2 linked regions of the Tamandua tetradactyla genome follow. The protein of the gene in region 2 interacts with the protein of the main gene of each other region in a pairwise test. Links are inferred from orthologs where the notes say so. Each region holds a gene or a part of one and is shown on either strand. Other genes may lie near its edges.

The links. The genes of interacting proteins can lie anywhere in the genome.
Region 1: the proteins of TLE5 (region 2) and C2H1orf94 interact in binary tests that used the Homo sapiens proteins (3 or more experiments, as listed by UniProt). The two-hybrid records come from large-scale screens. The link is inferred for Tamandua tetradactyla from reciprocal best matches to the Homo sapiens genes TLE5 and C1orf94.

The regions. Positions count from the first base shown.
Region 1 is NC_135328.1:191,530,358-191,540,835, reverse strand, and holds the start of C2H1orf94 (uncharacterized protein C1orf94 homolog), read left to right. Parts: upstream 1-5,474; 5' UTR 5,475-6,333; coding exon 6,334-6,662; intron 6,663-10,478.
Region 2 is NC_135337.1:79,360,612-79,371,390, reverse strand, and holds the start of TLE5 (TLE family member 5), read right to left. Parts: upstream 3,943-10,779; 5' UTR 3,873-3,942; coding exon 3,846-3,872; intron 2,972-3,845; coding exon 2,874-2,971; intron 68-2,873; coding exon 4-67; intron 1-3. UniProt on the Homo sapiens protein: Transcriptional corepressor. Acts as a dominant repressor towards other family members. Inhibits NF-kappa-B-regulated gene expression. May be required for the initiation and maintenance of the differentiated state.

The DNA.
Region 1 (10,478 bases), on a different chromosome or scaffold from region 2:
CCTCCATTATCTGCCCCTGACCACCCCTCTATCTTCGTATTTCCCCACTCCCCACTCTCATGCTCTAGTGGTTCTGAGGCCCTTGCACCCTGAAATGAGCGGTGCTCTCTCTCCCTTCCTTCTGGCCCCTGTCCTTGCTGCTTACTTTGCCTGGGAAGCCCTACTCCTCCTGTGCTGGAGTTCTCCTATTTGTCCTTCAAAATTCAGCCCAGGTATCAGCTTTTACAAGCAGTCATCACCAGAGCCAGTCAGAATGCCTGGTGCATGGTGGACATTCAATTGATATTTACTGAATGAATGGATGGATGCATGCATGCTTGAGTAGGTGCTCAGCAATGTTTGTGGAATGGACCCAAAGGTATCTCTCTTAGACTTCATTATCTGAGTTCCTTAAAGAAATGCCTTTTCTGAGTTATGATTTAATGTTTTGCACTCTGCCTTCAGAGAACCCTCATGTGAGAAACTGACCAACTTAACGGCATTTCTGTCTTTTATGAAAACAGAATTGAATATATTGCCCACCGTATCACTCAGTGTCCTTTATACAAGGACTCATGATAAATTCATGCTTGGGGTTATTTCCAGGAAACATTTTTTGTCTCTGCAGATGAAGATTTTCTCCTGTCAGAAAATAAAAAACTGTGCCATCTGACATGTTTCCATTTTTGCTTTACTGACAAATAAGGATACCCAATTTTATTACCCTTTACCTCTATGTGATCTGACCAATTCAGTTACCTGGAAGTAGCAGCTCTTTCTGTTTTCTTTAGATCGGGTTAGATCTGGCTTTAATCTTCGATGCCAAATTTTGTGCTTTTTAATCTGAAAGCCACTCCTAAATAAATGTGCACTGATGATCAATATCCTGCATGGAGGGTATGGAAGAAGGAACCAAGCATCAAGATTCTGGTTGAGATTGATTTAGAACCTCTGTAGGAGTTCTTGGGGCATCTATTATGACTAGAGTCTGGCTTAGTGGAGAAAACCAAAGTAGGAAGCCAGAGGGTCTACTGGGTCCTGACTTAGATGCTCCCTTACTGGGCCACTACTGCTGACTCATATTCTTTTCTGTCCCTAGCCATGGCCTTCTTTTCTCCAACTGTAAATGGTAATCTTATAGTATGCCATTTTCATATTACATGGTTGTTAATAATAAAAGCTAATGATAAGAATAACTATAATTATCAATATCTTTTATTAAGGGTTCACAGAACCAGGCACTGTGCTGAGGACTTTACGCACATTTCCCCATTTGGACACACACCCCCTTCCCTACAACCCAAACTTGTCTGTATTGTTTTTATCACTTTGCAATGAAGAAATTCCAGAGCATGTGTGAAACCTCCAGTTAGTAAGTAGCAGAGGAGAAAGTCAAATTCAAGTATGTCAGCTGCCACCTCCCAAGCTCTTAACCACTTCTTCATATATGGGCAAGAAATCAAGACAATAATAAGGGATAAAACTCCCCTAGAAAATGGCAGGGATTGCTCATGGTCACCAGAAGGGGAACCCACAGAGTCACAGTTTTTCTTCTTGAAGACATATCTTTTAAAAAACCAGACTCTGCAGCCCAGTCTGGTTGCTGGGACATGCAGGGGAGGCCCATTCCCAAGAAACATGTTTGCAACCTCCTCTTCCTTCAGTTCTGATGGTCTGTCTCTGAAGAAATCTGGCTAGGACCTACCTCTGCATGGGCCCCGCTCCTGAGCTGTTTGACCCAGTAAGCATACTAGACAGGGTAACTGGGGTCTCTCCCATTTTTAGGGACCTACAAAAAAGTTTTAGGCCTGAAAATGTCATTATTAGCTTCAAAATACAAAGAGGAAAACCTGCAACATTTAAATCATTAAATAATTAAGTGCAAAATGTAACATTATGTTAAGTTCATTAACTGTTGAATTCAGTCATAAAAATTTCATTACATTTGATAAGAGTTTGTAGTTTGGATTTTTCTCACTGTGCAAGATATCCTGAGTAGGCACTGAGACTGGTGAGAAATCATAGCCAATCGTACATGAAATATATTACTCATGGCCCCAAATTTTCAAACGCAAAATGGAAAAACCCTCTCAATTTTCTTTACAGCCAAAACGTTGTATTTTGGAGGCGAGGTGGATGTGTTTGAAACATATTAGATGCAGATTGGAGCCTGTAAGAGTAAGCAGACTTAAGCCCACAAATACCTTAAAAGAGCCCAGGCTGTGTGCTCACCTTTCTGGATTCTCCAACCCAGCAGCTTTGTGTTGGAGGTGGAAGCTAGGTGAGTGCAGGCTTTGGCTGAAAGATATGTGAAAAGGATTGCCTTCTTCGGAGGCATTCCTAGAGCCAAATAGGAAAGTAAGAATTCCAGAACCCTAAATAATCATAGCTGACATTCGTTGGGTACCTAGCATGTGCCAAGCTAACTAGTCTAAATACTTTACATGTATTATCAATTATCATGAACAACTCTGTGAGGTCAGTATTTTTATTATCTCTGGCTCATAAATGAGCAAATAATCCTAGAAAGGTTAAACAACCTGCTCTGGGTAATATGGTTAGTGAGGAGTAAATTAAGAATCTTTCCAAGCTAAAAATAATTCAGAGATGAAAGGCTGTCTGTTAACATCTAATGAGTCATTTCAAGCTCTAAGAAGGAAGGGACCAAGCCAGTCTTCTTCACTATCTATCTTCAGCACCCCAAACAGTACCGGGCACATACATCTGTGTTGAACAGAGACTGGAATAGCATTTATCAAACCCGTGCTGTACTCCAGGGCACTTATAGAATGCTTGTACCTCCTTTGTTAGACTGTGACTTTGTTTAGAGCAGAGGTCTCATTCACCCTAACTCCTGTGTCTCACACAGTCTTGGCCCATGGTAGGTGCTCAAAAACCTACTTTTTGTAGATCCCTAAAAATGGGGGAGACCCCAGTTACCCTGTCTAGTATGCTTACTGGGTCAAACAACCATGCAGAGGTAGGTCCTAGCCAGATTTCTTCAGAGACAGACCATCAGAACTGAAGCAAGAGGAGGTTGCAAACATGTTTCCTGGGAATGGGCCTCCCCTGTATGTCCCAGCAACCAGACTGGGCTGCAGAGTCTGGTTTTTTAAAAGATATGTCTTCAAGAAGAAAAACTGTGACTCTGTGGGTTTCCCTTCTGGAGACCATGAAGGCCAGCTTAAATGAGGCCTGGTGTCCATTTCTCTGCCACAGAGCAATTTCCTGTACAACTGAAAATACAGCGAATATTCTCCTTTTTGCATGGCACAAAGTCTTGTTATTCAGGAACTCCAGAGACACACAGTCCAATATAATCAGAGAAAACTAATACACAGCATGTTTATATGCTTCTTATTTGCCAGGTGTTGTTCTAGGAACTAGCCATGTGGTAAGCAATTATTTAGTAATAGAACATTTATAACAATTCTACAAAGCAGGTGTTCTTTATCATTCTCATTTTACAGATGTGGCAACTGAAGCACAGAGAGGTTAAGTAACTTGCCTGAGTTTACGCTGCTAGAACTCAGAATTTGAACCCAGGCAGTCTGTCCTAGAGCCTATATGATCACGGAAATGTCTCCTGTGCTAGTATTCTAAAACTAACCACATGTGGCTGTTGGGCACTTGAACCGTGGCTAGTACAACTGAGAAGCTGAATATCTAATTTTATGTACATTGAATTAATTAAACCCAAATAGCCACATGTGACCAGGGGTTACTGTATAGCACACAGTTTATATTATCTCTAAGTGTATCAGTTAAGGTCTGCAGCATCTTCTGGAAGCCTCAGTTGTGTGCTCCAAGAAACATCCTTATCATTGTTCCCTGTCCCGTGTCTCCTGCTAAAGGGGAGAGAGGGCAGAAGGAGTAAGTGAGCTGGCTAACTTTCCAGGATCCCATGGCCTGGGTAGTGCAGGGTAGCTGGTGTTCTGCTCTAAGCATAGGTGTTAGCCAACCAAATGCCAAGTAGCACAAACACTGAGTGACATTTTCAGAACTATTAATATTTCATCAGAAATTATCACTTTGCCTTTAAATACACTATCTTAAAAGGTTTTCTACATTCTTAACTATAATTTTATTCAGTCTAGGTCCTTGGAATTTTCCCCAAAGGAACACGTTTTCAATTTTATAATGAAAATCAAAGAGGGATGAAGCTCGGATTTCAAAATTGAGTCAACATTTCCAGGAACTCAGCCTCTCTGTAAAGAGCAAGGTAGTGTATTGGGCACCTACTATATGCCAGACACTTAACATATAGTATACCATTAATTCACTCAACACATATTTACTAAGTGCCCACTATGTGCTGGAAATTTGAGTCTCATATAATTTATTATGGTTTACTGTCACCATTTTACAGGAAAAACTCTCTCTCATCCTTCCTGCCATCTCAAAAGTTATGTCCTCAAAGAAGTCTACTGGACCATCGTCTTATGGGGACCCACCTACTCCCCATTGCCTCACTTTGTTCTTTTCCGTCCCAGCCCTATTGATCCATAAATATTGTTTATTTTTTGCTTTGCCAAGTCTGTGTGATCTATCATCCTTCCCTGGAATACAGGATCAGGTGAGCTCTTTTGTTCATTTTCGTGTTTCCTCAGTGCCCAGCAAGGGCCAGAGGAAGGGCTAATCAATATTTAGTGAATGAATGAGTACATAAGATGGGAGAAGTTAAGCAAGTCGATCCAGGTCCCACACCTTGGAAGTGGCAGTGCCAGGAGTCAGTCCAGCTCCATGTCTATAGGCTGCCTTCTCGTTTATTTGTATCCATTCCATTTTCTTCTTTCTCTGCCTTCTTACTCTTCCTTCTCAGAGGAAACAACCCGAGGAACAACCACTAACTCCTGGGGCTGGAGGGCCTGGGGCAGAAGTCTTGGGTCATTTCCGAATGTAATAAAACAGTTTCAATGAGAGCAGAAGCTACCTGACTAGCAAACTGCACACTTGGCCCTTCTCTCTGCACCTCCGCACCCCCCACCGCCGCCCATTCCCAGGACGCGTGGAAGCCCAGCGCGGGAAGGAAGAGGCTCTCCCGGGGATCAGAGCGCGGGCGCAGGCCTCGAGTGCCTGGGTTTGAATCCCAGCGCCCGTTTTCGCTGTGGGCCTTCAACTCATCCGTTTATGACCGTGAGACTGTTTCTGCATATGGGGAACGATAATAAAGACACGGTATTAACTGCGTGAGTTTGCAGAGATTGTGTATGATGACACGGAGAGCTCAGCGCTCGGCACACAGGAAGTGCCCATAAAATGGCACTTAGGGTTATAATCGGGCGATGTGGAGGAGCACGGCCCGCTGGCTGGCGCCGAGGTTCCTGCGGAGCAGCGGGGAGAGGAGTAGCAGGGTGAGAGGCTGCCCCGCTTTCTTGGATTTCTAAGAAGGGAAAGTGCCCGGGACCCTCGGGGCGCCCCCGCCCCCACCGCGGCGGCCTGAGGGCCTCGGACGCCGAACCCCCGCGGCCCGCGCCCCGAGCCGTTGCGTTTGAAAGCCACAGAAGGAGTTGCAGCGCTGGACGGGAAGGGTGTGAGGGCCGCTGGCACGCAGATAGGCCAAAGCCGCCCCGCCCTGCCCGCCCTGCCCGACAGCGCCCCTTTAAAGCGTCGGGACCCTTCCGGGGGCCCAGCCCGGCCTCCTGGCGCGGGGGGCGCGACCGGCGTCTGCTGGGGCTGCCGGGGGCGGCTTGCGGGCCGCCCGGATTGACTGACTCAAGTTTTCTTGCCCCGGGGCGGCAGAGCAGCCTCTGGAGAAGGCGACAGAAGGGGGTGGGGGGCGAGCAAAGGCGGGCACTCGGTGGGGAGAGGGGGTCAGGGGCCGTTGGCCCTCGGCCTGGGAAGGCCGGAGCTGAGATTCTAAAGGCGGGCTCCTGCCCCCACCGGGCCTAGCCCGGAGCCAGGCGCCTCACCACTCCCCCCCTCCCCGTGGCTTAGTAGGAGAGGATGGGCTGAGCCCCAGGCGCCGCCAGGTGTCAGGGGTGTGTCGCAAGGGTGGAGCGCCTGGGATTCTGGGGAGAGCCAGCCCTCCCCCTCCAGCCGTTCCCAGATGTCCTTCTGCCCGCCCAAGCGCCTGGTTCCTGAGCTCCGGGGGATTCCACGGTTACTAAGCTACTGGTTTTTGTTGACTTTTAAATATTTTCTTCTAAGGGAGAGGGGGAGGGGGACAAAAGTCAGGGAAGAGCAGATACAAACAAATCAAACTAAGCTCCCCCTCCCCAAAAGAAAGCCGTCCTCTACCCACCACTCACAGACAAATCAGGGGCCTCAGAACATAGTCACCTCGTCCAAGCAACGGCCAGCCAGAACTGACCTGCCTCTGCCAGTGCCCATCCTTATCTCCCTTTCTGGTGAATGAAGGGTGGTGGCGGATGGTCCCTCTGTCTGCGAGCCCTGGGCAGACAAAGGGGCTTCCGGAAGGAAAGGACGAGAATGGCCAGTGGGAATGGATTCCCTTCATCCTCGGCCCTGATGGCCAAGCGCCCCTCCGCCCTGGGCCCATTCCCCAGATACATCTGGATCCACCAGGACACACCCCAAGACAGCCTAGACAAGACTTGCCATGAAATCTGGAAGAGGGTTCAGGGTCTGCAGGAGGCCTTGCAGCCCAGGACCTCAACGGAGCAGCCCTCTGCCCCCATGGCTGGGACTCCACGAGATAACAGGCTCAGCTTCCAAGAAGAGTGAGTGTACCCCTGCTTGGTTGGCATAAGGGAGGAGGGAGGAGATGAGTTCTGACTTTCCGGGGAAATGCTCTTGCCCAATATTCAGTCTGATTAAACCCTAAAGACTATATACTTTTCCTCTACCCTTCCCCATGGTCTTTTGTTCAGCCTTTCTGGAAGAGCTGTCTTAGGTCTTGACGTTACTGGATGAAGGGCCAGACCAGGGCTGTATTCCAGGCTGCTTCTTCACCAGCCCAGTAAGGGGACATATTTCATCTTCAAGGCATAGCCAAACCAGATTTGGGGTTGAGGTTCCTCAGAAAACGCCCTAGCCAAGGCTGAGGAGCATGTAGATATCTCTTTTGAAGCTTGTGGGCCCCGGAGACCCTTGGCTTTCCCCGGAATCTGACAGAAGATCCTTCTTCTGACCCCCCCCCCCCCAAAGGTTGGGCATTCACACAAGATAAGCCTGGTGGTTTTAAACCACATCTGGAATTCCCTAATACAGGAAGCAGCTGTCCCATTCAGCCTTCACAGAAGCTGCTGCAAAAGCTCACATCAAAATATTTACTGGGAAGGCATTGACATATTCAGAGGACATAATAGAAAATTAAAGTGTGGGAAGAAGGCTGTAAATAGCCCGTTTCCAGGATGGGAAATCCTGTGTCTGGGATACACAGAGCTAAATGTTTCTTTACCAGGGCAAAATTGGACAGATATTGTTGGGAATAGATATTTGCAAGGAGAGAAAGAAGCAGCGAAAAGGAAGAGACCTCATTAAGAAAAAGAAAATAAATTCAGTGTGGCTGTTAATGCCACTGTTGAGCACTTCTTCAGTGCTTTACAACTTCAAAGTGGACCGCAAACATTAATTAATCCTCCTGGAGTCCCGATGAGGCAGGTATTAGTGTCCCCATTTTACAGATGGATTAAGTGTTAACAGTTAAGTGCTAATTAAAGACTAAGCGATAATTAAGTGTTGTCTATGCCAACACATGCTCCAGCTCAGTTCAGAGATGCTCTGGAGTGGGGGAACCATGCAGGCAATTATCAGCTGCCTCCAGATTCAGGGATCTCCAAGCAAGAGCTAAGGAGAAAAGCAAACTATAGCTGCTACACAGGTCTGCACTGAATGCTGCACTTACCAACTGGCTGCAGACCAGGGTGGAAGGCACTTTGGCTGCGAATGCCTCCCCTGCCCTATGCTGAGCAGGATAAGGCTTGGATGGGAGTGGCCTGTCTAAAGCCACAGTCGTGCTGTCAGGCCCTCCAGTGGCAATAAGCCTCTCTCCCCTACCCATTGCCATCTGCTCAGAGACAGGGCCTTGGCACAGGGACCCAAGGGACTGTGCTCAGGTCCCATTGGCCAGGCATCCAATTGTCCACTTTGTGGACCAAGGGTCAGTAGCAATTTCCAGTAGGCGGCACACTCCCTGCCAGGTCCCACTGAGTGAATAGAGACAGACTCTCTTCCAGTCTGTACTTGGCCAAAAATTGAACTGGCACACCTTTGACCAGTTGCTTAATTTCATTTGGCCTGGATTTTCTCATCTGCAAATTGAGGATGATGTGTCCTGCCTTGTCCACCTCAGAGTTGATAATGAGGATCAAATATGATGGAAGACAGGAAAACAGAGATGCATTATACTAATGTAGGCTGTCCTTAAAATATAATTCTTGGGTTTGGGCATTTTTGTTGCTGTTGTTATTGTTGACTTCTACCTGGAGTTCTAAACCCATGCTCCACAGACCCTAAGGTGTTGCAGGGGCCACCCAAGAGTCAAGTGGACTGGTTGCTGGGTTCCAGTCCCCACTTCAACCCAGCTGTTCTGTTTTTATTGGTTTTACTTACTGGATTTCTGAGTAAGGCGTTTGAAAAAAGAAAAAAAAAAAAGAGTTCTGCTGCTGAGAGAAGAGCTAGGAAACCACTGGCTTAGATGAATAACGATATCATAAGTGCGTCGATGCCAACCAAGTAGAACACAATGAGCTATTCTTGAAATAAAGTCAGCTGTGATAGTGGAGCCAGACAACTCTGGTTTCAGACCACATTTCAGCCCTGTGCCAGCTGCAGGATTAATGACTCTTTAATTTACCTGAGCTTTGGTTTCCTCATCAGCTTAATGGAAATGACTATCCATTTCATAGGATTATTGGGATGATTAAATATGGTATTTAGAAATTTCTGGCAATAATTCTAATTTGTAAAATCTCCTTGTAATTATGTTGATGATAAATACTTTAAGCCCTCCAATTGTTCCATGATGCAGGTATTATTATTAAACTCCCCTCTTTTATTTTTATTATACATTTTTTCAGATACGTAAAAGTAGAATAGTATAGGGAATGTCTCTGTGTCTATCACTGAGTTTCAATAATTATTACCTTTATGCCATTCTTGTTTCCATTGTCTTTAATGAAATCGTTTTTAAAGTTGAAGCAACTGAAGTTTGGAGGGAGTTAATTTCACTGCACAAAGTTAAGAAGTGGTGGAGTTTTAGAAATCAAACCCAGGGCTGTCTCATGTTGGCTATCTTCCCCCAACAACCTGAGGCATCTTTTTGGGTAGTCAAAATATTTGGAAGTCCCATGTTTTGAATGATCACAGATCAGAAAACAGATTTTAAAGGTGGGGAGCTGTCCAGGGTCCAGAAGACACCTCTCAGTTCATCTTTCCACTGCTTAATTTGTAGACCTTTTTATTTTTTTCCCACATGGGCAGGCACCGGGAATCGAACCCAGATCTCCAGCATGGCAGACGAGAACTCTGCCTGCTAAGTCACTGTGGCCCTCCCATAAACCTTTCTTCGGTGATGTATTCTGCTCTCAGAGCAGCCCGATAAGCAAGTTCTACTACTCTTGTTCACCAGAAACTTTTTCTTGACTCTGAACCTTTATTCCATTCAAACCCAGGCATCTCAAGTTTAGAAGGGATCTTGGCGGTCACCTTCTGCTGCTTGAATCCCTTCCCCAACATTCTTGCCAAGTTGTTATTCACTTGCACACTTTCTTAGAAGAGAGGCTCACCACTTCCAAACATAGTGCCTTCTCTTGCTCTGAACGTTGACTGTCTAAGTTCATTTCCTCCCTGTAATCGAAATGTATCCCTATCAAGCTAATAGTATACCTTAGTATGGATTCTGCTCCTTTGGGATCCAAGTTTTTTCTTTCTTTCTCTCAAGAGTCCTTTAGATATTAAAGCCAGCAACGATGTTCCTCCTAGGATTTTTGTTTCTTTAAGGTAAATGCCTCTGGTTTTCCAAGTTTCCCCTTAGATGCCTACTTGGTCAGTTTCCTGTCTATATTACCCATCCTTGTTTCAGTACGAATTCCAGAACCAAGTGCAGTAATTCAGATATGGCCAAGTCAGCACAGAGTAGAGTTGGATCATTTCCTCCCCATCCATATTCTGAATTCCTGTTAATAGCAATTGAGAATACATTTGCTTTCTTCCCCAAGCCCACATCATTCTGTTTTTTGAATTTATTTATTTATACATTCATTCATTCAACAAATATTCATGAGCATCTACTATGTACCTGCAACAGTGCTAGGAACTAGGGAGATAAGACTCTACCATCCTAGAACCTACGTCCTAGTCAGGGAGAGAGACAGAAAACAAATAAATAAAATGGCTGTGATAATTTCAGGACATGAAAGGACTGGTACTGTAGTTGGAGGAGACAGATAATAAGCATATAAAACATAAACAAGATGATTTCAGATAACAATAATAAAGTAGAGTGATATAATAGCAGAGAGCTTTCTTTGAGGAGGGGCTATTTGGGTTGAGCTCTGGATGCCAAGAAGGAACCAGTCAGGCAAAAATCCAGG
Region 2 (10,779 bases):
TACCATCACATAGTGGCGCTGCATCTCCGACTTCTCGCTGGCCAGCTTGTCACATTCGAGTTTCAGGCTGAAGAAGGAGGAAGGGGTGCAGGGATACAGGTCAGAGGCTAGGCTCAGGCTCCCCTGTGGTGCAGGAGAGGAAACTGAGGCTTCAAGGACACTTGGGGAGCTCCCCATGTCCCCAGCCAAGTCCTCGGTACAGCTTAAGATCAGCCTGGGCCTTCACAGTGAAGCCACAGACCTTAACGATGGCCAAACACAATCTGCTGAACTCGGGAACTGATGGCTTTTGAGCTCTTGGTGATGCTGGGCAAAGAGCCGTGAGACTCAGCTTCCCTGGCTATAAAATGGGGACATGAGACCAGCCTTCCAGGCTGCTGATGAAGGAAGTAAATCACAATACGAGATCAGAAGAATGAGAACAAACGCACTGCCTCTATATCAAGACAGGGACTGCAGCTCATTCAATCAATCCTTGTGAAATGGTCTGAAAGGCTGGCAGAATTATCACGACTCTTGTTTTTTTTTCCAGATGATGCCCAGAGAGGTTGAGTAAGTGGTTCAAGGCCACACAGCCAGGAAGCATAGCGAGGCCGGCTTCAGAGGCCACAAACCTCGTCATTGTGAGAAACTGCAGAAATAGTGACAGGGATCAAGGAGCGGTCTGGGAGGGTGGGAGGGGAGGGTCAGCTCCTGCCTGAACGCAACTGGGGATCTTCAAGTGGTCCCACCACGTTTGTGGGTGGGTCCAAGGAGACCCAGACAGGACACAAAGCCCCCACTGGGATTTGTGGCCCTGGGCCCACCTTATTTCCCTGAGGGGTAAAATGGGGAGGGGACTGGACCAGCTCAGAGCCCCCAACCCTGTTCCTTTCTCTAACTGGGAAAAAACTGCATCACTTCCACCATGGTAGGTTCTATAAAACTTTATCTTGCCTCTCTCTGGCTCCCCCAGCAAAGATAAGCTGTGGGTATTTCCCCCACAAGGGCCTCGGAGCAGGAAGGAGAGAGTTAGCAATGATGTCAATCAGCTGAGAAAAGGCCCAGGGGTGGGGTGGGGGGGGAGGGGGTGGCGAGCCTCTTTCCTTTACTCCATTAAATCTGATCCAGCAAGGGGTATGCAGGGTCTACCTTTGTCACCCCTGGTTGTACAAGAGACAGAGAGTGGTTCAAAGCACAGGCTCCCCAGCCACAGGGCCCGGGTTCAAAACTCACCCTGCCAATTCCTTGCAGTGTGACCCTGGACAAATTTTCCTCCCTCACTGAGCCTCCATTTACTCATCTGCAAAGTACCGACCTCCCAAGATGGTTTGCAGGATTAAAGTGAATTAAGACGAGGAGACCTCTTTGAACAGTGCCTGGCACACAGTAAGCGCTCAATTAACGCAGCTTCATCTTCTCACCACCTCGGGACACCGGTATTTTACACCGTGACATGGCCCGCGATGTGAACATGCCCAAGGTTGGAGTTTCTTTGGCCCCCGCTAAAGTTGGTTTTCTCTGAGTTTCTTTTAAAAGTGTGCAATTGTTGCCAGAAAAAAAAAAAAAAACCACAAAAGCAAAACAACTCAGGCAATTTCATCCCCACTCTCAGGACTTCCGGCCATTCTTGATGAACCGGCCAGACAATCTGGTGAAACTGGGCTGGTCCTGCTTGGCAGGTCCTGTATGTGCCCCCGAAAAGGGAAAGCCCCTCATGGGTCACCCAGGCCTAGCAGGAGATGCAAAAGCTTAGAAGGGGGTCCAGCGGGCCTGAGGTGACAGTACTGGGACTATACCTGGGGTACTCAGGGTGAGGTGGGCATGGGCTAGGGTGGCGGGAGAAACTGCCCCCCTTTGGACCCAGAATGTCCAGGTCTACCAGGCAAAGCCCCCACACCCTCCAATGCTTTCAACCCTCTATGCCTCAGTTTCCCTATCTTTATAATGGACAGCATGCAACACAGTGGGGTGGACTAAACAAGAGGGAACATGTTCAGTGCTTAGCATACGGGACAACCCCAAAAGGGTGGATATTTGCACTAAAAAAAATCGGCCTTCCCACTTTTTCCTAGAAAAAATCCAGGATCTTTCAAAGATCACTTTTATGAGTGCATAAACTAAGTCCCAGAGATGGCCCAGGGTCTTACTGGGCTCTGTGACCATGGAACTCCTGATTCCCAGACCAGTCCCCACCCACCAGGGCAGAGAGGTTGAGAATTTGCTTTCTTAGACTGGGTTCAAAATCTCAGCTTCACTACTTCTTCGTGCTTGCTGTGCATCCTGGAGGAATCCCCTAACCTCTCTGGGTTTAATTTTTCCTAAGCCTAATGGGAAGAAAGGAAAAGCTCCATCCACTTAGACCTGACACATGGCAGGCCTTTTAGAAATGTTAGATGAAATTCGGGCCACAGACTCAGCTTTGAGAATCTGCTGGAAACCAGGAACCCTCTCCCCAAATCTTGGCAGAGAGCATTTTAGGGGGACTGGGGCAGGGGGTTCTATCCCGGAACTTCAGTTGTTCAGAGGTCTTTTATCCATTAGGGATGGTGGAATTGGGGCTCTGAAGCCAGACAGCTGCAAGGCCAGGCATATCTTTTAACTTTTTTCGTGCCTTATTTTTCTTATCCGTGAGATGAGGCAGTTTTTAAAAATATACGAATTAATATCAATATCGGTAAGGTACTCAGGACTTGGTAGGAATGGGGTGGCTGTAATGAGAGCCACTATGATTGCATTGTTTGCATAAGTCTATTAACAGAGGCCAAGATCTCGGCTCCAGGCCTCCTTCTTGCCCTCCGTACAAGGGAGGGGAGTAGGATTCAGACACATTTCCACCCCCACCCCCACCCCCGCCCTCGACCCAGAGCCTGGGACCCCTGCCCGCGGCTCACCTGTGGTACTGGGCCTGCAGCAGCTGGAACTCATCTTTGATGCGGTCGCAGGAGTCCGAAGTGGTGAATTTGAGTTGCTGGGGTAGGTGCGAAGAGCCCTGCGGGGAGGGGGCCGCCCGGTTCACCGCCAGGAGGGGGCCCGGCCACCCTCCCTTCCAATTCCGCGCGGGCCGGCCGGGAGGCGGCGATTGCCGCAGCTGCAGCGCGCCCCCTCCGCCCTCCAACCGCCCCCACCCCCGCTCCTGCCCCACTTCCTGGGCCCGTGTTTACAGCCCCCAGCGCGGCCCCTGCCCCCGCTTCCTGCCCCCGCCTCTCCCGGGGGAAGCCGAGGGGTAGGGTGCGCCCGCAGCCGCCTAGTCCCCCGCCACCCCCGATTGTGGGGGTGCGTTTTAAGGCCCGCCCTTGGTGGGGGCAGGGTGCGCCCTCTACAGCTCCTCCAAAGCTCCCCGGGAGTGGAGGGAGGGGGGGGAGCGGGGATGCACATCCGAGCGCCCTAACCGCCCCTGGTGGAGGGGGAGGTAAAGGACGCGTCCTAGAAAGTCCCCTCCTCGAGCTAGAACTGGGGGGGGGTGGGGGGGAGAGGCCTCCCTGCAAAGTCTCCTTACAGGAAGGGCCTCTCCCAGCGCCCGAATCTTCCGGGGCGGGGGTGGGGGGACACCCACTCCAGAGCTCCATTGCCCTTCCCGAGGCGGCGTTCTTCCGGGAGGGGTGCCCCTTGGTTCGCCCTTCCCGCCCCCCCCCACCCCGCCCCCCCACCCCGCAGGCCCCAAAACGATCTCCAGCGCCACGGGTGCCGACGGGGCTCCCGGAGCGCCCGAGGCCAAGGCCTGGCTCGGTGGGGGGTGCGGGGCCCCGGAGCTGATGGTGGGGTGGGGTGGGGGGTGGAGGGCTAGAGCGCCGAAGGGAACCGGGCCCCGGAGCAGGCATGGAGGTGGGGGGAAGGGGGAGCCGGGCCGAGCGGGCCCCGCTTACCGAATGCCTGCTTTGTGGAAACATCATGTCAGTCGCGGCGGGGGGGCGCGCAATGCGCCCCGGCTGTGCGCCCCCGGCTCGGGCGGCTCCGGGCGCCGGGCGGCCGCGCCTTTGTCCCGGCGCCGATCGGCAGCTCCCGGGGCCGCCGCCGCCGCCGCCGCCGCCTCCCGCGCCCGGCCTCGCCCGCTTCCTGCGCCCCCTCCCCGCGCGCCCGGCCCCGGCGCGCCCCGGGCCCCGCTTCCTGCGCGCCGGGCTCCCTCCCGCCCCGCCCCGCACTCGCGGCCTCCGCTCCTATTGTCTAATGGCGGCGACGCCGGCAGCGGCCGCGGCCTCGGCGCTGCGGAGGCTCCGGCTCCACCTGCTGCTGCTGCTGCTGCTGCTGCTGCTGCTGCTGCTGCTTCCCGTGCCCCGTGCGCGCCGCCGAAGGGGGGGGAGCGCGCGCCCGGGGAGGCCTGCGGATCCCCACCCCCGCCTGCCTCTCCCCCCCACCCCACCACTTCCCCCCCACCCCCCCCCAGCCCGCCCTCCCCGGGGCCGGCCCGGCACGGTGACCTTGGACACGGCGCGTCCACCGCCCTGGGCTCCCAGCCAGCCGGGCCGGGGTGAGGGGTTGGGGGTGGGGGGTGGGATGCTCCTCACGCCTGCTGCGCCTCGGTTTCCCCACCTGTCAAAGAAAGGGCCGGACTGCCAGCCTCCTAGCCACGGGCACCACAATGGCGTGACCTGGACTCGATGACCTTGGCCCAGCGGCCAACCTCTGTGGGCCTCAGTTTCTTCGTCGTTGTCAGAGCAGTCGGTGGTAACTGTGGCAGGCGTTTATTGAGCGCCTACTGTGTGCCAAGGCCACGGAGGGGAGGTGACACAGGCGCACAAAGAACAAATACACTGGTCAAATTCTTGGGTGCAGATGGCAATGAGAGGGCACAGTTTAAATAGGGGGAGATCAGAGAGGGACTCGCAAACCTGAAGAAGGAGAGGCTGGGAGCCCATAGGGGTATGGGGATATGCTGGGAGGAGCAGATTCAGAGAACTGTTACAGCCAGTGCAAAGGCCCTGAGGCAGGATGGGGCCTGGCGCTGGGAGAATGGAGGAAGAGACTAGGGTAGGGAGGTTTTATGTTCTGCCCTGGCCTCTTGACATTCTTCATAATTTTTGAACAAAAGCCTTGCAGCTTCCTTTTGCATTCGGATGTGCAAATTATGTAGCTGGTCCCTACAAGGAGGTGATGAGCACGTTTGCAAGACTTTATGGGTTATGGGGAGGAATTATTAGGCTTGTACTCAGGGAAGTGGGCTCCCTGGGAGGGGGAGGGGGTAGCTGTCCCTGGTTTTGAGAGTCTCCTCACTGAAGCTGTTCAGATAATGCACATACATGTTCCTTTTTCTTGTGCTTATTTAAAAAAATATTATCGTGCTAATGGAAATACAACATAACATCTCCTGTTTCAACCGCTTTCAAGTATACAGTTCGGTGGTGTTATCTTCATAATGTGCTGCGTCATCCCCTCAAAAACTTTTCCATGCCTTCCCCATGAACTCCCCATTTCCCACCCCATGGTAGACGGGTATTCTAATTTCTGACTCTAGCAATTTGCATATTCAAATAATTTCCTATCAGTGGGATCATATGATATTTGTCCTTTTGTGCCTGGCTTCTTTCACTCAACGTGACGTCGAGGTTCACGCACTTTATAGCACCTATCAGAGCTGCGCTCCTTTTTAAGGTACAATAATATTCCATTGTGCGCGTGTAAGATAAAAGATATTTTAATGTGGTATTTTTTAAAATAAAAATCCACGCAAGATGAACAAGATGTCAACATCATGCATAAAGACAGAATCTGAAAAGGGCCAGGATTAGGATGAGAGGACCAGGCATATTGGGCAAATGCAAAGCTGTCCTCGGTCCTGACACTAAGCAAAAAAACAGACTTTAGTAAAGTTCCTTGATATTCTTGTCAGTTTCTGGAATCAGCGGAACCCACAGAGTGAACGGAACCCCTGAACCAGACTTGGCTACGGAATTTGTGGGGGGCCTCCCCTAGGGCAAAATGAAAATTACAGGTCCCCTTCTTGAAAAAGTATTTAGAATACCCAGATGGCAGTATTGGGGAGGTAAACCAGACTGGAGGCCCTTCGGGGCCCATGAAATCAGCCTTGCCCCAATTCCTGTCCCCACCCCCTCACCATGGCAACCAGATGCTCTTTCTTCTGGGTGTCCCCTGGATCTGAGCCTCACAGAGGCAACACCCCCATCGTCGGGGGAAGGCAGAACCCAATACAGACACCCCGAGTCCCAGGGGGTTGGGGCTAGGCCACAGAGAAGGACCCCAGGTTTTGCCTTTGAAAGGGGAAGTCATTTTCAGAAGAAGGAGTTTCCAGTGTGTAGATAAGTCAAGAAGTGTGGCCCAAACTATAAGTAATAATAAACCACCCAACTTACATGGTTTTACTATGCTCCAGATGCTTTCTTCTTTTTTATTTAATTAATTAATTTATTTTTTAAACACAACAACATATAAACACAAACATTCTTACCATACGATCATTCCATTCTTGATATATAATCAATAACTCACAATATCGTCACATATTTGCATATTCATCATCATGATGATTTCTTAGAACATTTGCATAATTCAGAAAAAGAAATTAAAAAAAAGAAAAAAATTCATACACACCATACCCCTTACCCCTCCCTTTCATTGATCACTAGCATTTCAATCTTCTAAATTAAATTTATTTCAACAATTTGTTCCCCCTATTATTTATTTTTATTTTTATTCCTTATGTTTTACTCATCTGTTGATAAGGTAGATAAAAGGAGCATTAGACACAAGGTTTTCACAATCACACAGTCACACTGTGAAAGCTATATCATTATACAATCATCTTCAAGAGACATGGCTACTGGAACACAGCTCTACATTTTCAGGCAGTTCCCTCCAGCCTCTCCATTACACCTTAACTAAAAAGGTGATTTCTATATAATGCGTAAGAATAACCTCCAGGATGACCTCTCTCAGCCATTGACACTTTATTTTGTCTCATTTCTCTCTTCCCTCTTTTGGTCAAGGTTTTCACAATCCCTTGATGCTGAGTCCCAGCTCATTCCAGACTTTTTCTTAAGCCCTTTAAGTCTTAGTTATTGCTGTCATGCCCATTTTAGAAACGGGAAAACCAAGGCACAGAGAGGTTAAATAACTTGGCTAAAGTCACACAGCTGGTAGATGGCAAGGCCGGGATTTAAACCCAGGTGCTTGAGCCCTTGGCTACTACAAAATCCTGCCCTTCAGAGGGAGGGAGAGGCAGGAAAACAGGTCAGGGTGGGTGGGAAAACTGGCTGGAGAGGGTCAGGGGCCACACAGGGCCCCGCATCCTGGGCTAAGGAACTGGAATTTTACTCTGAGGGTACTGGAGAGCCATGGGGGGTTTTAGAGCAGGGGCCTCAGCCTCTGCCCTGCTGACATTTGGGGCAGGATCATTCTTAGCTGGGGTGGGGAGCGTCCTGGGCCTTTTAGGGTGTTGAGCAAGCCTCCCTGGCGTCCATCTGCCAGATGCCGGGGGCATCCCCATCCCCAGTCCTGACCACCAAAAATATCTCCAGATCTCGTTAAGTGTCCCCTGGGGGAGATAATATCACCCCAGTTGAGAACCACTGAGTTACAGCAGCTGGGAGACTTGACCCAGGCTGGGTGTAGAAGGTTCCGACTTGATCCAGACTAGGTGTAGAAGGTTCCAGCTGGCGGCCTGAACAGAGGAAGGGAAGGCAGGAGGCCAGGAGACCAAGGCTGGAAAAAAGACAGGCCTGGGCTGAGCCCAGAATAAGGAGGAATTTTGGGGACCACAAAAAAATCCACATGGGCCTGGAGGGAAAGAGAAAGGGTAAAAAGCTGAAACCTTGGAGGGAGTCATTTTTTTTTTTTTAATTGTGGAACCGCCTATAATACGTGAAATGTGCCACTGGAACCGTTGTTAAGTGTCCAATTCAGTGGCATCAGTTTCTTTTACAGTGGGGTGCTGCCACCACCACCTTCCTTGAGGAAAATGTTGTCATCACTCAAAGCCGAAGCTCTTTAAGGGGGAAATAGATTCGATTGTGTGATTTGGGGGCTTTGGGAGAGGACAGTGCCCTAGGTGGCAGGCCTGCTTCCCCACCCCCACATGTCCACCTCTGGGGCTCTTAGCATCAGGTCCAGGGCCAAGGAGGGGGTGGGAGGGGGTGGGCATGGCTTCTGTCTGCTGTCTCCCACCCTCTGGGACCATCTTTCCCGCTGTGATGGATGGAGGGAGCTATGTGGTCATCAGTCAGAGGTGGGAGCAAACAGGTGGCATGAGGCCCAGGAAGGACCTGGTGGGGGCCTGGACCTCAGCTGTCGGCTTTGGGTTCAAGTCCCCCCAACTCTGACCCCTGTCTGCTGCTACCTGGCCAGGTGACCCCAGGCAGTATGAGTTTACCACCCGGCGCATTCCCCTCATCCTCAGCCCCATCGTGGAGCTATTATTCATTGAATCCCTTGGTAAGCATTTATTGAGCACCTACTGTATGCCAGGCATGGGTCTAAGTGGGGGTTTATAGCAGTGACCGTGATCCCTGCTTTCATGATGCTGACCTTTTTTTAAAAAAAAACTTTTAAAATTGTATAGTGTAACATATATACAAAGCAAAGAAAGAAAAAAGCAAGTTTTCAAAGCACACTTCAACAAGTAATTATAGGACAGATCCCAGAGTCTGTCATGGGCTACAAAACTATCCTCTCAGATTTGTCCTTCTAGCTGCTCCAGAATTTAGGAGGCTAGAAGGAATAAATATTTTTTTATCGCCACAATTGACTTTTTTTTTCCTTTTTTTGTGAAAACTAACGTATATACAAAAAAGCAGTAAATGTCAAAGCACAGCACAATAATTAGTTGGAGAACAGATTTCAGAGTTTGGTATGGGTTACAATTCCACACTTTTAGGTTTTTACTTCTAGTTGCTCTAAGATACTGGAGACTAAAAGACATATCAATTTAAAGATTCAGCAATCATATTCATTTGTTAAATTCTGCTTTCTCTATATGACTCCACCATCACCTTTGATCTTTCTGTCCCATTCTTTAGGGGTATTTGGGCAATGGCCATTCTAACTTCTTCATGTTGGAAGGGGCTGTCAATAATATGGGTTAAGGAGATGGAACTAGTTGATATTCTGGAGAGGCTGGGCCCTCTAAGTTTCAGGCTTTATCTGGTCCAGGGCCCCATCTGGAGGTTGTAGGTTTCTGGAAAGTTACCCTAGTGCATGGAACCCTTGTGGAATCTTATATATTGCCCTAGTTTTCTTTAGGATTGGTTGGAATGGTCCTGGTTGAGATTTGGCAAGTTATGATAGGTAGTAAGGTCTAACTGAAGCTTGTGTAAAAGCAACCTCCAGAGTAGCCTCTCGACTCTATTTGAACTCTCTCTGCCACTGATACTTTATTAGTTACACTTCTTTTCCCCCTTTTGGTCAGGATGGAATTGTTGATCCCACAGTGCCGGGGCCAGGCTCATCTCTGGGAGTCATCTCTCATGTTGCCAGGGTGACTTTCACCCATAGATGGATGCTGACAGTCTTTTAAAAAAACTCCAATCAGGGCCCGTCCCCCCTCTGCCCACAGCCCTCCATGGTTCCTACCTCCCTCAAAGGGGAAAAGCCCAAAGCTTCCTTGTAACCTACCAAGCCCCACACTCCTTGCCTTTTCCTCCCCCGCGCTCCCCCCTTGCTCCCAGGGTTCCAGCCACTGGGACCTCCTCGCTGCTCCTCCAGCACCCAGGCCCAGTCCTGCCTCAGGGTGTTTGCACAGGCCATTCCCTACCTCGAACATTCTTCCCCAATTAGCTTGGCTAATTCCTTCATCTCCTTCCAGTCATGGCTGAAAAGTAACCTTCTCAATGAGACTTCTAGTGACTTTCCTAATGAACTCTGGCATTCACCTCATGCATAAAATGAAGAGGGCTGCCAAAAAACTCAGCCATCAAGGTAAACATTCCTCATTCTAACAAGTCAAAAAGATGCAATATTTTGAACAAATCCAAATTCATGCGAAAAGACCTATAATGAACAACATACTACAATTTTAAATGCAGGGCTGACCCTGCATTTGCATCTCACTCATGCATCCCCTTGGCCCACAGCCCCACCTCAGTCCCTGCCACCGCACTCCCCATCCCTCCCCAGGAGTTCACGGCTTTCTTTTTAATTATTTTTAATGTAAGGAGAGCTTCAAACTTTTTATCTTGAAATAATTTCAAATTTACAAGACAGTTGTAATAATAATGCAAATTCCACAGACAAAACTCCGACATAAACCCGCCCCAGATACCAGATTCACCTATTTTAGTATTTTGCCACATTTGCTGTATCTCTCCATCCATCCATCCATCCATCTGTTTGACTCTCTGTTCACTTGCTGTCCATCCATCCATCCGTCCATCCATCCATTCATTCGTTATCTATCTATCCATCTACAGTACTATGAATTCACACTGCTCCTTTCAGTTCCATCCCCCCACCCCAGGGCTTATTCCCTCCCCCTTTCCATATTTCAACTCCCTTATTCAATAGAGAGAAACCTGACCCAGAGGATGAGTGTGTTTTGTTTTTTGTTTGTTTGTTTGCTTGTTATTTTTAAAAAATGTATTTTTATTGACAAACCTTCACACACATACGGTCCATATGTGATCTACAATCAGTGACTCACAATATCATCACATAGTTGTGTATTCATCACCATGATCATTTTTAGAACATTTACCTCACTCCGGAAAAAGAAATAGAAAGAAAAAAGAAACAACTCAAACATCCCATCCCCCTTACCCCTCCCTGTCATTGACCTTTAGTATTAGAATCCACCCAATATATTTTACCCCTTATCCCCCCCATTATTTATTTCTTTTTTTATTCGTATATATA